Arabidopsis thaliana: one gene and its partner. The protein of the gene in region 1 purifies or fractionates together with the protein of each later gene. This does not show direct contact. Each region holds a gene or a part of one and is shown in the gene's direction. Other genes may lie near its edges.

Evidence for each region.
Region 2: the proteins of VPS45 (region 1) and VTI1B purify together in Arabidopsis thaliana (affinity purification with western blotting, with the first as the bait; one study listed by BioGRID). This does not show direct contact.

What each region holds. Positions count from the first base shown.
Region 1 is NC_003070.9:28,982,145-28,988,693, forward strand, and holds VPS45 (vacuolar protein sorting 45), read left to right. Parts: upstream 1-1,789; 5' UTR 1,790-2,018; coding exon 2,019-2,108; intron 2,109-2,244; coding exon 2,245-2,446; intron 2,447-2,540; coding exon 2,541-2,620; intron 2,621-2,897; coding exon 2,898-3,125; intron 3,126-3,252; coding exon 3,253-3,378; intron 3,379-3,488; coding exon 3,489-3,572; intron 3,573-3,642; coding exon 3,643-3,784; intron 3,785-3,888; coding exon 3,889-4,067; intron 4,068-4,284; coding exon 4,285-4,440; intron 4,441-4,678; coding exon 4,679-4,786; intron 4,787-4,871; coding exon 4,872-4,993; intron 4,994-5,114; coding exon 5,115-5,246; intron 5,247-5,476; coding exon 5,477-5,537; 3' UTR 5,538-5,891; downstream 5,892-6,549. UniProt on the Arabidopsis thaliana protein: Involved in the protein transport to the vacuole, probably at the level of vesicle fusion at the trans-Golgi network (TGN) and not in transport from the TGN to the prevacuolar compartment, by promoting the recycling of vacuolar sorting receptors back to the TGN.
Region 2 is NC_003070.9:9,214,092-9,218,770, forward strand, and holds VTI1B (Vesicle transport v-SNARE family protein), read left to right. Parts: upstream 1-1,678; 5' UTR 1,679-2,011; coding exon 2,012-2,108; intron 2,109-2,768; coding exon 2,769-2,827; intron 2,828-2,916; coding exon 2,917-3,105; intron 3,106-3,281; coding exon 3,282-3,452; intron 3,453-3,549; coding exon 3,550-3,702; 3' UTR 3,703-3,919; downstream 3,920-4,679. Other genes in the region: AT1G26665 (Mediator complex, subunit Med10), read left to right, coding at 419-642, 732-812, 900-1,002, 1,086-1,175, 1,264-1,335. UniProt on the Arabidopsis thaliana protein: Together with either SYP41 or SYP61, required for membrane fusion; the fusion of phospholipid vesicles containing SYP41 or SYP61 and VTI12 is triggered by YKT61 and YKT62.

The sequences.
Region 1 (6,549 bases):
GGTACTCGAAGAGGAAATCCATGTTTCTGAGGATAAGCATGTCTGCATCAATGAAGATGATCTTGTTGTATTCTGTCAATTCCCAAAGACGGAATTTGCTGTAGTTCCATTGGTTATATGCATTTGCTTCAGCTTTCGGGTTTCTGATTCTTTGAAATGTGTGAATCTTCCATCCAGCTGATTCCAAGCCACTTCTATGGTATTCACTGATCGAATCATCGACTAGTATTACCAAATTGCGAGTAGAGCCTGACATTCGAATGCTCTGTGCTACTGCAATGGCTCCACAGACAAAAGCATCATCTGAGTGCAAGATCGTCGCGTACGCTTCTTTCTTGGCATTTGCCGAGTAGAAATTATCTGCAATTGAATCATAATCAGCTTAGGAGGAGAGAATAGAGATGTCAAATTTAGCTGATACAAAAGACGAAGAAACTTACTACTGAGTCACTGACCTTTAGCTTGAAGAGGAACAGAAAGTTCACAGGAACCAACAGGAAGTTGTAACTTTTGTCTTAACTGGTGAAGTTTAGGCTTATACAGCCATATGTTTCCTTGACGGGCAACAAGTTCTTGACCCGTAAAAAGATTCGGTATTGGAAAGCAATCTGATACCAAAATCACATGAACATCATGAAGCCCTTCAGAAGATGCCGCCACTCGAGCTGCTGCAAGTTGTAAGTGCAATCTAGCCACATCTCTTGACCATTTTCCTGACTTGTTACATGGGAGCTTGGCAATGATAAGATCGATTCGAGACTTGTCAGGAACTTGAATCCAAGGAAGAGAAGGACAAGTGGGGACTTTGAATTTTTCTTCCTCGTCAATCCATTCCGGGTATAAAGATTTCCAAGTTATGTTACTTGCAGCATGGTCTAGATGCAAAGCTATATGCTGACAGTGAGATTTTATGACCACCTGCCATCGATTAATCTCGTTATCGTTGAGATTTAGAAAGCCAATTCCTTGATACTCGCTTCTGCCAGATAAGTAATGCTCAACAACAAGTGACATACTGTTCCAGTTGATCTCAGATGTAGCTATATAGCGAGGATCTGTGGTTACAGCAGGTTCTAGTATCCATTTGTTTGCAAAACTTGATGGATCTTCAGGAATTTGCAACGGTGGAGAACAGTAGAGTGTGAACATAGCAACCAGCATCATAAGAAACAAAACAAGTTTCAGACTAGAGAAGTTGACACACATTTCAACATCGAGAGTGTATCCGTTTCTTTGGAATCTCTTCGTTTTTGTTTTCTCACTATATATGTAAAACAAATGCACTATGTCAAGCCAACAGATGAATACAGATCTCTGTAATGCACATACTCAACCACATTGCTCTCATGATCTATGATCCTATCTGATTCCCCTAAGTTAGGTAAAGTAGTTTCCATTGAACTCAAGAAACTGATGAAGTAGAAGAGAAAAAGACTTACCTGGAAATGTAAAGTCGATGACTTGACTGACTTGACGGCGCCATGGGACTTTCAGAAGAGAGCTTCATTCTCACTGTAAGAATATTAAGTTTGACTTTCCTGAGTGAGAGACTACATGAAGCTGGATGCATCGAGCATTACAATAATCACACGTTTTTGACGCTAATCCAAATTATATTATATTAGCGGACGGATCGGAACAAAATCAACACGATGGGTCAATGTTAAGTTTGAATTTTTTTGCGGAAAAATCCTGATCTATTAGATGTTTCCTTTGTAAAACCCTGATGTTTTATTACTTAATAAATAAACCCTCAAATTAGGTTCAGTTAATCAAAAATTAAGTTTGTGTTGAAAAGAGGAATAACCAATAAAATATAGGGTTTGTTTTGCAAAAACACTTTTCTTCGTATGAGTCGACGAGTCTGGGGACCTTTTAGTTTTCTCGATTAAGGAAAGGAAGATCTGAAAGTGAACGCGAAATCACTTCGCCAGCGTTATTGTTAACAAGAATCATCAGATTAGTCGCCGTAGATCTGAATCAACGTCGTAACAGTAGCAGAATTTTGCGGTGAAACGATGGTTTTGGTTACGTCTGTGCGTGATTACATTAACCGGATGCTTCAGGACATCTCCGGCATGAAGGTTCTCATACTCGACTCCGAAACGGTAAAGTCCGATCTCGTCTTCTTCGATTGCTAATCTTCTCTGATTTGTTTCTGGAATCGTGGTTCATAATTTCCCTTGTAACCGGAAACACATCTTCGTGATTACTTGTTTATTGGATTAATTGTTGAATTTGCAGGTTAGCAATGTAAGCATTGTGTATTCACAGTCAGAGCTGCTTCAGAAAGAAGTGTTTCTGGTGGAGATGATAGATTCAATATCTGTGTCAAAAGAATCGATGTCACATCTGAAAGCTGTTTATTTCATCCGTCCAACTTCAGATAATATTCAGAAATTACGATACCAGCTTGCGAATCCTAGATTTGGAGAATACCATTTATGTATGATTTTTTCATCTTCTAACTATTTCGAGTTTATCATTGTTCACTCACAATATACAAAATTTGATGTTGTTTTTGTTATGAATTCTTTCAGTTTTCTCCAATCTGTTGAAGGATACTCAGATTCATATTTTGGCTGATTCCGATGAGCAGGAAGTTGTACAGCAAGTTCAGGTGATTTTTAGACTTCCCTCATCCATGATGTTTTTGAATAGGAGGCTAATGCTAAAAGAATGTTTCATAGCCTATATGATGGATCAATATATGTATAGATTTTTAGCTGTCTCTGAGAAGTTGCTTGGTTTGTGATGAAACGGCCATACTTGTGGAGCTTAGTATCCCCCCTACCTGTCTTTAGTTTTCTGATTTAAACTTATATTGCTTGGTGCACTCGGCATAGTACTGTATAATGGCTTGTTTAACATAGTCTTTGTGGTTTTTTATATTGCAGGAGTATTATGCAGACTTTGTTTCTGGTGATCCATATCATTTCACATTGAATATGGCATCAAATCATCTATATATGATCCCCGCAGTTGTCGATCCCTCTGGTTTGCAACGCTTTTCCGATCGGGTTGTTGATGGAATTGCGGCAGTGTTTCTGGCGTTGAAACGAAGACCTGTCATCAGATATCAGAGGACCTCTGATACTGCAAAAAGGATTGCACACGAAACAGCTGTAAGTGAAGTTGTTTGACAAGCTCTCGTAAAGTTATTTGTTCCCGCTATATTTTGCATGCATGTGATGGAACTAATTCCCACTTGTGTCTATCCAATAGTCTGAAAATTCGCTGTTTATGTTTCAGAAATTGATGTATCAGCATGAAAGCGCTCTTTTTGACTTTAGACGGACTGAAAGCTCTCCGTTGCTACTTGTAATTGACAGAAGAGATGACCCGGTTACCCCATTGCTGAATCAGTGGACATATCAGGTAACTTGACTAAACAAAATTATTGTGCTACTCTATGATATAAGATGTGCCTCCCGCTGTCTTGCTTTTTTGTAAGACTACGACTTACTAATTAACGAGATTTTCTGTAGGCAATGGTGCACGAACTCATAGGACTTCAAGATAATAAAGTGGACTTGAAATCCATTGGAAGTCTTCCAAAAGATCAGCAAGTGGTTAGTTTTCTCCAATGCCATTGTTTTTTAGTTGAGAACCTTACAGCTAATATGTCTCTTATCCTGGCAGGAGGTGGTTTTATCATCAGAACAAGATGCATTTTTCAAATCTAACATGTATGAAAATTTTGGGGATATTGGAATGAACATCAAGCGAATGGTAGATGACTTTCAGCAGGTGGCCAAGAGTAACCAAAATATCCAGACAGTAGGTACAAATATGGCTAGTCTTAAACTATTCTCTGCAAAAACTTTTGTAACAACAGATTCTCGTGCTAGTGACAATTATATATCTGTGAATTCGTTGGTTGTACAGAGGATATGGCCAGATTTGTTGACAACTACCCTGAGTACAAAAAGATGCAAGGCAACGTTTCAAAGCATGTAACTCTGGTTACTGAAATGAGCAAGCTAGTTGAAGCAAGGAAACTGATGACGGTTTCACAAACAGAGCAGGACTTGGCTTGCAATGGTGGCCAAGGAGCTGCATATGAGGTAGTGAATATCTGTGGTGAACATTCACTTGTAGTCGCATATATTAAAAAATAGCTACAACCTGCAGAAGTTCTTACTGAATAATTTGGCATTCAATAATTTGGAGTCTCATGCGAATGTAATCCAGTGAACCTGCAGAAGTTAGCGAAATATGCAAAATTGTGCAGACTCTGCTGTAAGCACGGAGCTCTGACTCTCTATTCATGCTTATTTGCAGGCAGTTACGGATCTCTTAAATAATGAAAGTGTGTCTGACATCGACCGGCTGCGTTTGGTAATGCTATATGCTTTGCGCTATGAGAAAGAAAATCCTGTTCAGTTGATGCAATTGTTCAACAAATTGGCTTCACGGTCTCCCAAGTACAAACCAGGGGTACAGTCAGACTATCATCTGTTTCCTTTCAGTTTAAATTGCATCTCTTTCTTGTGGCTTTATTATTCTGCATCTCTTTTAAGGTTGATTTTGATCTGTCCCTCTGCTACTACTATACTTGTTAACCTATCTGCAATTCCGTCCATAGTAGTTTTACCTTTTCGTTTTTATTTTTGAATAACTTGATAAAAGTACCCTCAAATCATGTTATAACTTTCTGGTTGCCATGCAACTGCAGCTAGTTCAATTTCTCTTGAAACAAGCCGGTGTGGAGAAGCGCACTGGTGATCTATTTGGAAACAGAGATCTTTTGAATATAGCACGTAACATGGCTCGTGGACTTAAGGTCTGTATCTGAGTTAACTCGTCTCCAGCAACATTCTATATCTCCCTATATATATGTCATGTTACTGACATCTTGAAAAATACAGGGTGTTGAGAATGTCTACACTCAACATCAGCCTCTTCTGTTTCAAACAATGGAGAGCATAACTAGAGGGAGATTACGAGATGTGGATTACCCATTTGTTGGAGATCATTTTCAACAGGGACGGTATGTGCCTCTAATTTTTTCAATTTCTTAAAACAGGTAACTTGTTTGATAGTTACAGATTTCTGCAATTCGTGAAAACTTACATAACTAATCAAAAACTGCAAAATTTCTGGATAAACAGGCCACAAGAGGTGGTTATTTTTATGGTTGGTGGAACAACATACGAGGAATCACGCTCTGTTGCTCTACAGAATGCCACCAACTCCGGGGTTCGGTTTATTCTCGGCGGCACCGCAGTGCTTAATTCCAAGAGGTAATGCTGAGGTTAAGACAGTGTGTGCAAATGAGCCTCGATTGGTTTTGAGTTCTAGGTCGAAACAGCACTGATCAACTAAAATATCAACATTGGTTAAGTCATAGAAGGCCCAAACCGAAATTGCTGTTTGAATTAAATAATAACTAGGAATCTAAATTGGTCTACAAAGTTCATGAAAGTGTATTATAAGAGAAATGTAAGCTGAAAAGTGAATTTGGTTGTGACAGATTTCTAAAGGACTTGGAAGAAGCACAAAGGATATCAAGATCAGGTAGCCATATGGTGTGAAGAAGATCCAAAAGAATTTTGTGTAAATTATTTTTTAAGTCTTAAGATTCTTCCGGGGAGCACATAGAAGAAAGAGACAAATGAAAGAAGAAGATTGTGGTCAGGTTCGTCGAATCTTTCGTATACATGATGATGATTACCCCACCAGAGATTTAATTTTTGGGGTTTGTGTGTGTATTCATCGTGGTACAGTTTAATTGGACCGTTCTTCTTACACAATTATGGCTAATCAAGAAAATGTAACCTGAGGAAATTTTACTCCTCTATCATAATTGCACAAAACAGAATTAATAATCTTTTTCAAAATTATAATAACACTTTAGACAAAAACCAGAGAGATTTCATAACAAAAAATCTTTATTACTCTTAAAAAACAAAATCATATGTGGAATTTTTGAAATATTACTAGTTTACTACTCCCTTTTATAATAATGAATAAAATCACTTTTATAATAGTAAATTAGTAATGAGTAAAATCTGACTGACGTCAATCAAAAGTAAGTACCGATTTGGGAAAGAGAACAATCAAAGAGAAAACATAAAAACAGAGCTCTTTTGAGTATATATGGAGTATCTTATGTAGCTCGGCTACTGTCGCCGTTGGATTTCTCAAATGTCGTAATATGATGTGAGAGCGAAGCTGACACAACTCTCTGTCTCTGCTCTGGAAGCATTTTTACTTGTTGTTCTTTCACACATACACACTTCACAGAAACCCTCCATTACAACATAATAGTATATATTTACTATACATTCCAAAAAAATCATTAGGTTTACTTTTACATCCAAATTTCATACTTTTAACAAAGCGATTATGTGCAATTTAATCCTCTATCAAGTTGGATTTTGAGGGGTTAAAATTGTTTGAAGTCAACTAGCAAAAGTCTCATTCTTGAGAAATATTCGTCTTGCGGTAATTTTTGCTATAGTTTTATTAAAACGTCAAATCAGTAATAAAAACAATTAAAGAATTGAGGAGCTCGAGAAAAGTTCTTCACATACATCTCTTTCT
Region 2 (4,679 bases), about 20 Mb from region 1:
TATGAACGAAACAGATACAAGATAATGATATTCCACGTCAGCAAAGTGTCCAAATATCTTCCGCTTCCCTGTCTTCGTCGGTCCCTTTTCGGTTTTCACGGTAAGGCTCGGAGGAAAACCTAATTCGTCCGGAGAATCTCCACCTCACTCTCGCCAAACGCATCTCTGTTGTAGGTAAGTCACGGATCTTCATTCTACGCTAATTGTTATTGTTATCGTTATTCTTGATCTGGGCGTTTTTGTGGAATTTGCATCTAAAATTAGAAATTTGGATACCAAAATCCACTCCAATTGAATAAGGTTTCTGAAGAATTTTCGTTTGATTTTGAGATCGAAAATTGCGTTTTCTCGTTTTTGTTTTGTTATCGCTAACGCATCAGGTCATATATCTCAAGTTTATATTTTGTGGCAGCTTGTGATGGATCCAACACAGAACACAAGTGCAGGGATTGGTGGGAGCAATGGTACAATCAGATATCAAACCAATGATGGGACTTCAACTGTGACCGTTGCTGATGATTCAAAGGAGAATCTTTCCCAAGTCATAAACTCTATTGAGAAAACTTTAGGAGTCCTTCATCAGTTACACCTTACCGTCACTTCTTTCACACCCGCGTCTCAACTCCATCTCCTCCAGCGCCTGTAAGTAACTCCTCTACTCATCTGTGTTTATTGTTTTGGGTATTGTAACTATTGTTTGAATGAATATGTGTGTGTGTGTGTATTTGCAGTAACTCTCTTGTGATGGAGCTAGATAACATGACTAAGTTGTCTGAGAAATGCAACATTCAAATCCCCATGGAGGTTCTTAAGTGAGAAAACAAGTCCTTTTTGTTTTTAGTATGCACTTTGAAGATAGATACTTTTACTTGCTTACTTATGTTTGCGTTTTCGTATAGCTTGATTGATGATGGGAAGAACCCGGATGAGTTTACGAAAGATGTTCTTAATAGCTGCATAGCTAGAAATCAAGTTACTAAGGGCAAGACTGATGCTTTTAAGGTGACTCCTTTTCTTCTGATTCTTAATTTGTGTATGATTCTTAAGGTTACTGAGTCTCTTAATCAACATTTTGTTATAAATAGGATTTGAGAAAACATATTCTGGAGGAGCTTGAACAGAATTTCCCTGATGAAGTCGATATGTATAGAGAAATCCGTGCTAGTTCTGCTGCTGTAAGTTGTTAACTTCGACTAGTATTGTACATCTTCATTAATATATTATAGTAAGTCAAGGGGATTAAACAGTTTTGGTCATATTCAGGAAGCGAAACGGTTGGCGCAATCGCAAAGTGTGTTACCAAATGGGGATGCAAAGGTCAAGAATGAGCTATAAGAGCCCAAAGGATCCTTTTTATGTTTACCTTGTACTCTTGTAGAATATAATGACTGAGTCGATGAATGTGATGTAACACGAACAATCCCAAGTGGAATTTCTAATAATATCTGTTGGTTCTCTTCACCTGGCTAATATAGTTTGAGAATCTCTGCTTGTTCCCCCCATTTTTACTCGAGTGGACTATCTTACTCTTAGCCTCTGAGATCTCTTTGATTTCATGAGACTATCAAAGAATCCCACATAGTTACGCAAAACAGATTCGACTTCTATCAATGGATTTGTCTATTTCCTGGACGAGTAATCTTGGTTCTGCATAAAATGTACACTATTTCCGAGAGCTGAAAAAGTGAGAAAAGACACTTAGATTTCAATCTTAATTAACGGTTTGATTCGGTTTGGTTTGTCTCACCTACATTTGCATCGATTGCAGCATGGGGGACTTAATACGCAGTGGCTGACACGTGTCAATATAAAACGCACCGCTTTGTTTGATTGTTCCTCCTTGTCCCCGAGCAGAGAAATACAAAGGAAGAAGAAGAAGAGTTGTTTGATTATCTTTAAGCAAAGAGGAAACTGTTTTGCTTCTAGATCCGATCCAATCCAATCAAACAAAGGATCCGATTGATCAGAAAAAATCCACCAAATTTCTCAAGATCGAAACATATAATTGAAGATGAGCGACGTATTTGAAGGGTACGAGCGTCAATACTGCGAGCTCTCAACCAATCTCTCTAGAAAATGTCACTCTGCATCGGTTCTCTCCAACGGAGGTAAAATCCAGACGCTCCCGATTTCGGATCTTGAACGCGAGATCTTCGAATTTACCTGATTTTAGAAATTCGAATCTTCGAATTTGGGGTTATTGGAGCTTTTGAGCTGTGACAAGTAGCTGGTGGACTAGTGTTCTTTACTAATCGTCCTGACTTGTTTAGGATCTGACGAAGTTTTGTAACATTTAGGAATGTTGAGACATAGGATCTGTTTCTCATTGCTTGGATTAGAAGACGATAACCTAGTTAGGTCTAGATAGTTATGTAGTTGCATAGATTTATTAACTTGTTTCTCAATCTATTTCATCTAATTTTGTCCGAATTTGGGGGTATTTGTAAAGTAGAGGTGCATGAGTGTTTACTAATCGTTTTAGCTTGTTTACGATCTGACGAGTTCTGTAGTATCTGGGAATGTAATTTACTTGGATTGGTCAAGTAGTTTTGTGAAGAAATTAAGACTGAAGATAAGATCATAAGAACCTAGTTATGTAGCTGCAGAGGTTTATTGAGTTGGTGTTTTTTTTCATTTGTTTGTCAGTCTATGGTTACCACTGTCTTTCTTGGAGTTATAGTACATAGACATGCATGGAGTTGTTACATTTTGTGGTGCCATAGAACCAGAGTAGAGGTTTGATTAGATATTGTTGTGTGCTTTTATAGAGGAGAAGAAGGGGAAGATTGCTGAGATCAAGTCTGGAATAGACGAAGCTGATGTCTTGGTATTTGCATTTAACTTGCTTTAATGTTGTTACCGTTCTGTTCTTTCTTTTTTAAAATTAATATATATGCTTCTGTGGTTTTTTTGTAGATCCGGAAAATGGATCTTGAGGCAAGAAGTTTGCAGCCGAGTGCTAAAGCTGTGTGTCTTTCTAAACTAAGAGAGTATAAATCTGATCTGAACCAATTGAAGAAGGAATTCAAACGAGTCTCTTCCGCAGATGCTAAGCCGTCTTCCCGTGAAGAGTTGATGGAATCCGGAATGGCGGATCTGCATGCAGTAAGCTTCTAACTCCTAAATAGAAACTCTTGTTTTCTCATTATCTTAGTTGTCTTAATTGACTTGCATCAGTTAGGCTTCTTTGTCCTGAGGGGACCCTCCTTTATATTCATCTTCACACAAACTTTTAGATGGCAAAGACTTTGCTGTGATTTACATTATTGTCCATGTTCCAGGTATCTGCTGATCAAAGAGGAAGATTGGCAATGTCCGTGGAGAGGCTTGACCAATCAAGTGACAGAATCAGGGAGAGTAGAAGACTAATGCTGGAGACAGAAGAGGTTGGCATCTCAATTGTCCAAGATTTGAGTCAGCAACGCCAAACCCTCCTTCATGCGCACAACAAGGTACCGTCTACAATTGCTCGGTTTGGTATCTATCAGTGCCAATGATTTGTTTGAATTAGATCATTGAGAAGCTAACTTTTCTGATTTTGAATCACAGCTTCATGGTGTGGATGACGCCATTGACAAGAGCAAGAAGGTGTTGACGGCTATGTCAAGGAGAATGACTAGGAACAAATGGATCATTACATCGGTAATCGTGGCTCTCGTTCTCGCCATCATCTTGATCATCTCATACAAGCTTTCTCATTAATATACTCAAAAAACATTATTCATCGTGATTGTGTATATATATATGATGGTTGATTTACTTTGTAATGGCCCAAGTGGTTACTTGTATTTTTAAGTACGATGTTTGTATTGAAGTGGCAACACTTTTAACATTCATAAGGTTTCCCAAGTCTTTTCTTTTTTGTCTTTTTTTCCAAAAAAGTGGTACTATTTTATATAAAGCAGATGTTTCAAAAGTTACAACTGTGGAAACTTCCACTTACATCTCAAGTCCAACCTTTGAAAACTTACAACAATGTAATTCCAAAAAGAACAAACACTCCATTGCTCAAAACATAAGGTTTTCCAAGTCTTTACATGAGCCAAAGATCTATACTTATAATGTTTTAAGAAAACTAGGACACCTGACACATCCTTGCCGGACCAATCATCTTGCCGTGATCACCAGTCGCAGGCAGGAGACCCACTGTCACGTCAGAGCATGAAACAAAGGCCTCTCCTTCTATCTCTCTATTTAAAATAACATCAAACATTCACGACACCAAAAAATACACACAAGCCAAACATAACAAGTAAAACTATCCCCGAAACAAATAGTTTTATGCAGTCCCGGCCCGTCCATAACGCAGCTAGAGCATGTGTTTCTGTCGTGAATTATGTTTTCTATGATCTCAGCCCCTGTTATGTTTTAAACCACACGTTCTGGTCTTCAAACTCGTTAACCCATTCCACCCTATAAATCCCTTCTTCGTAAGCAGGGATAGATTGACGAGTGATTGAAAATAATCTTTAATGATCAAGAATTTCCTCCCATTCGCCGGAAATAATTCACTTAACCACCAAATGAAAGAGTTTTGAGATTAATTAATCTACTCTTTAAAATTTTAGGCATATACACTTGATTGATGTGATGACAAAATGATTTGAGTACTAATCAAGTACAATCACTACAAAAAAAATGTGTGTTTTTACATCATTTATTTTATATATTTTTATTAG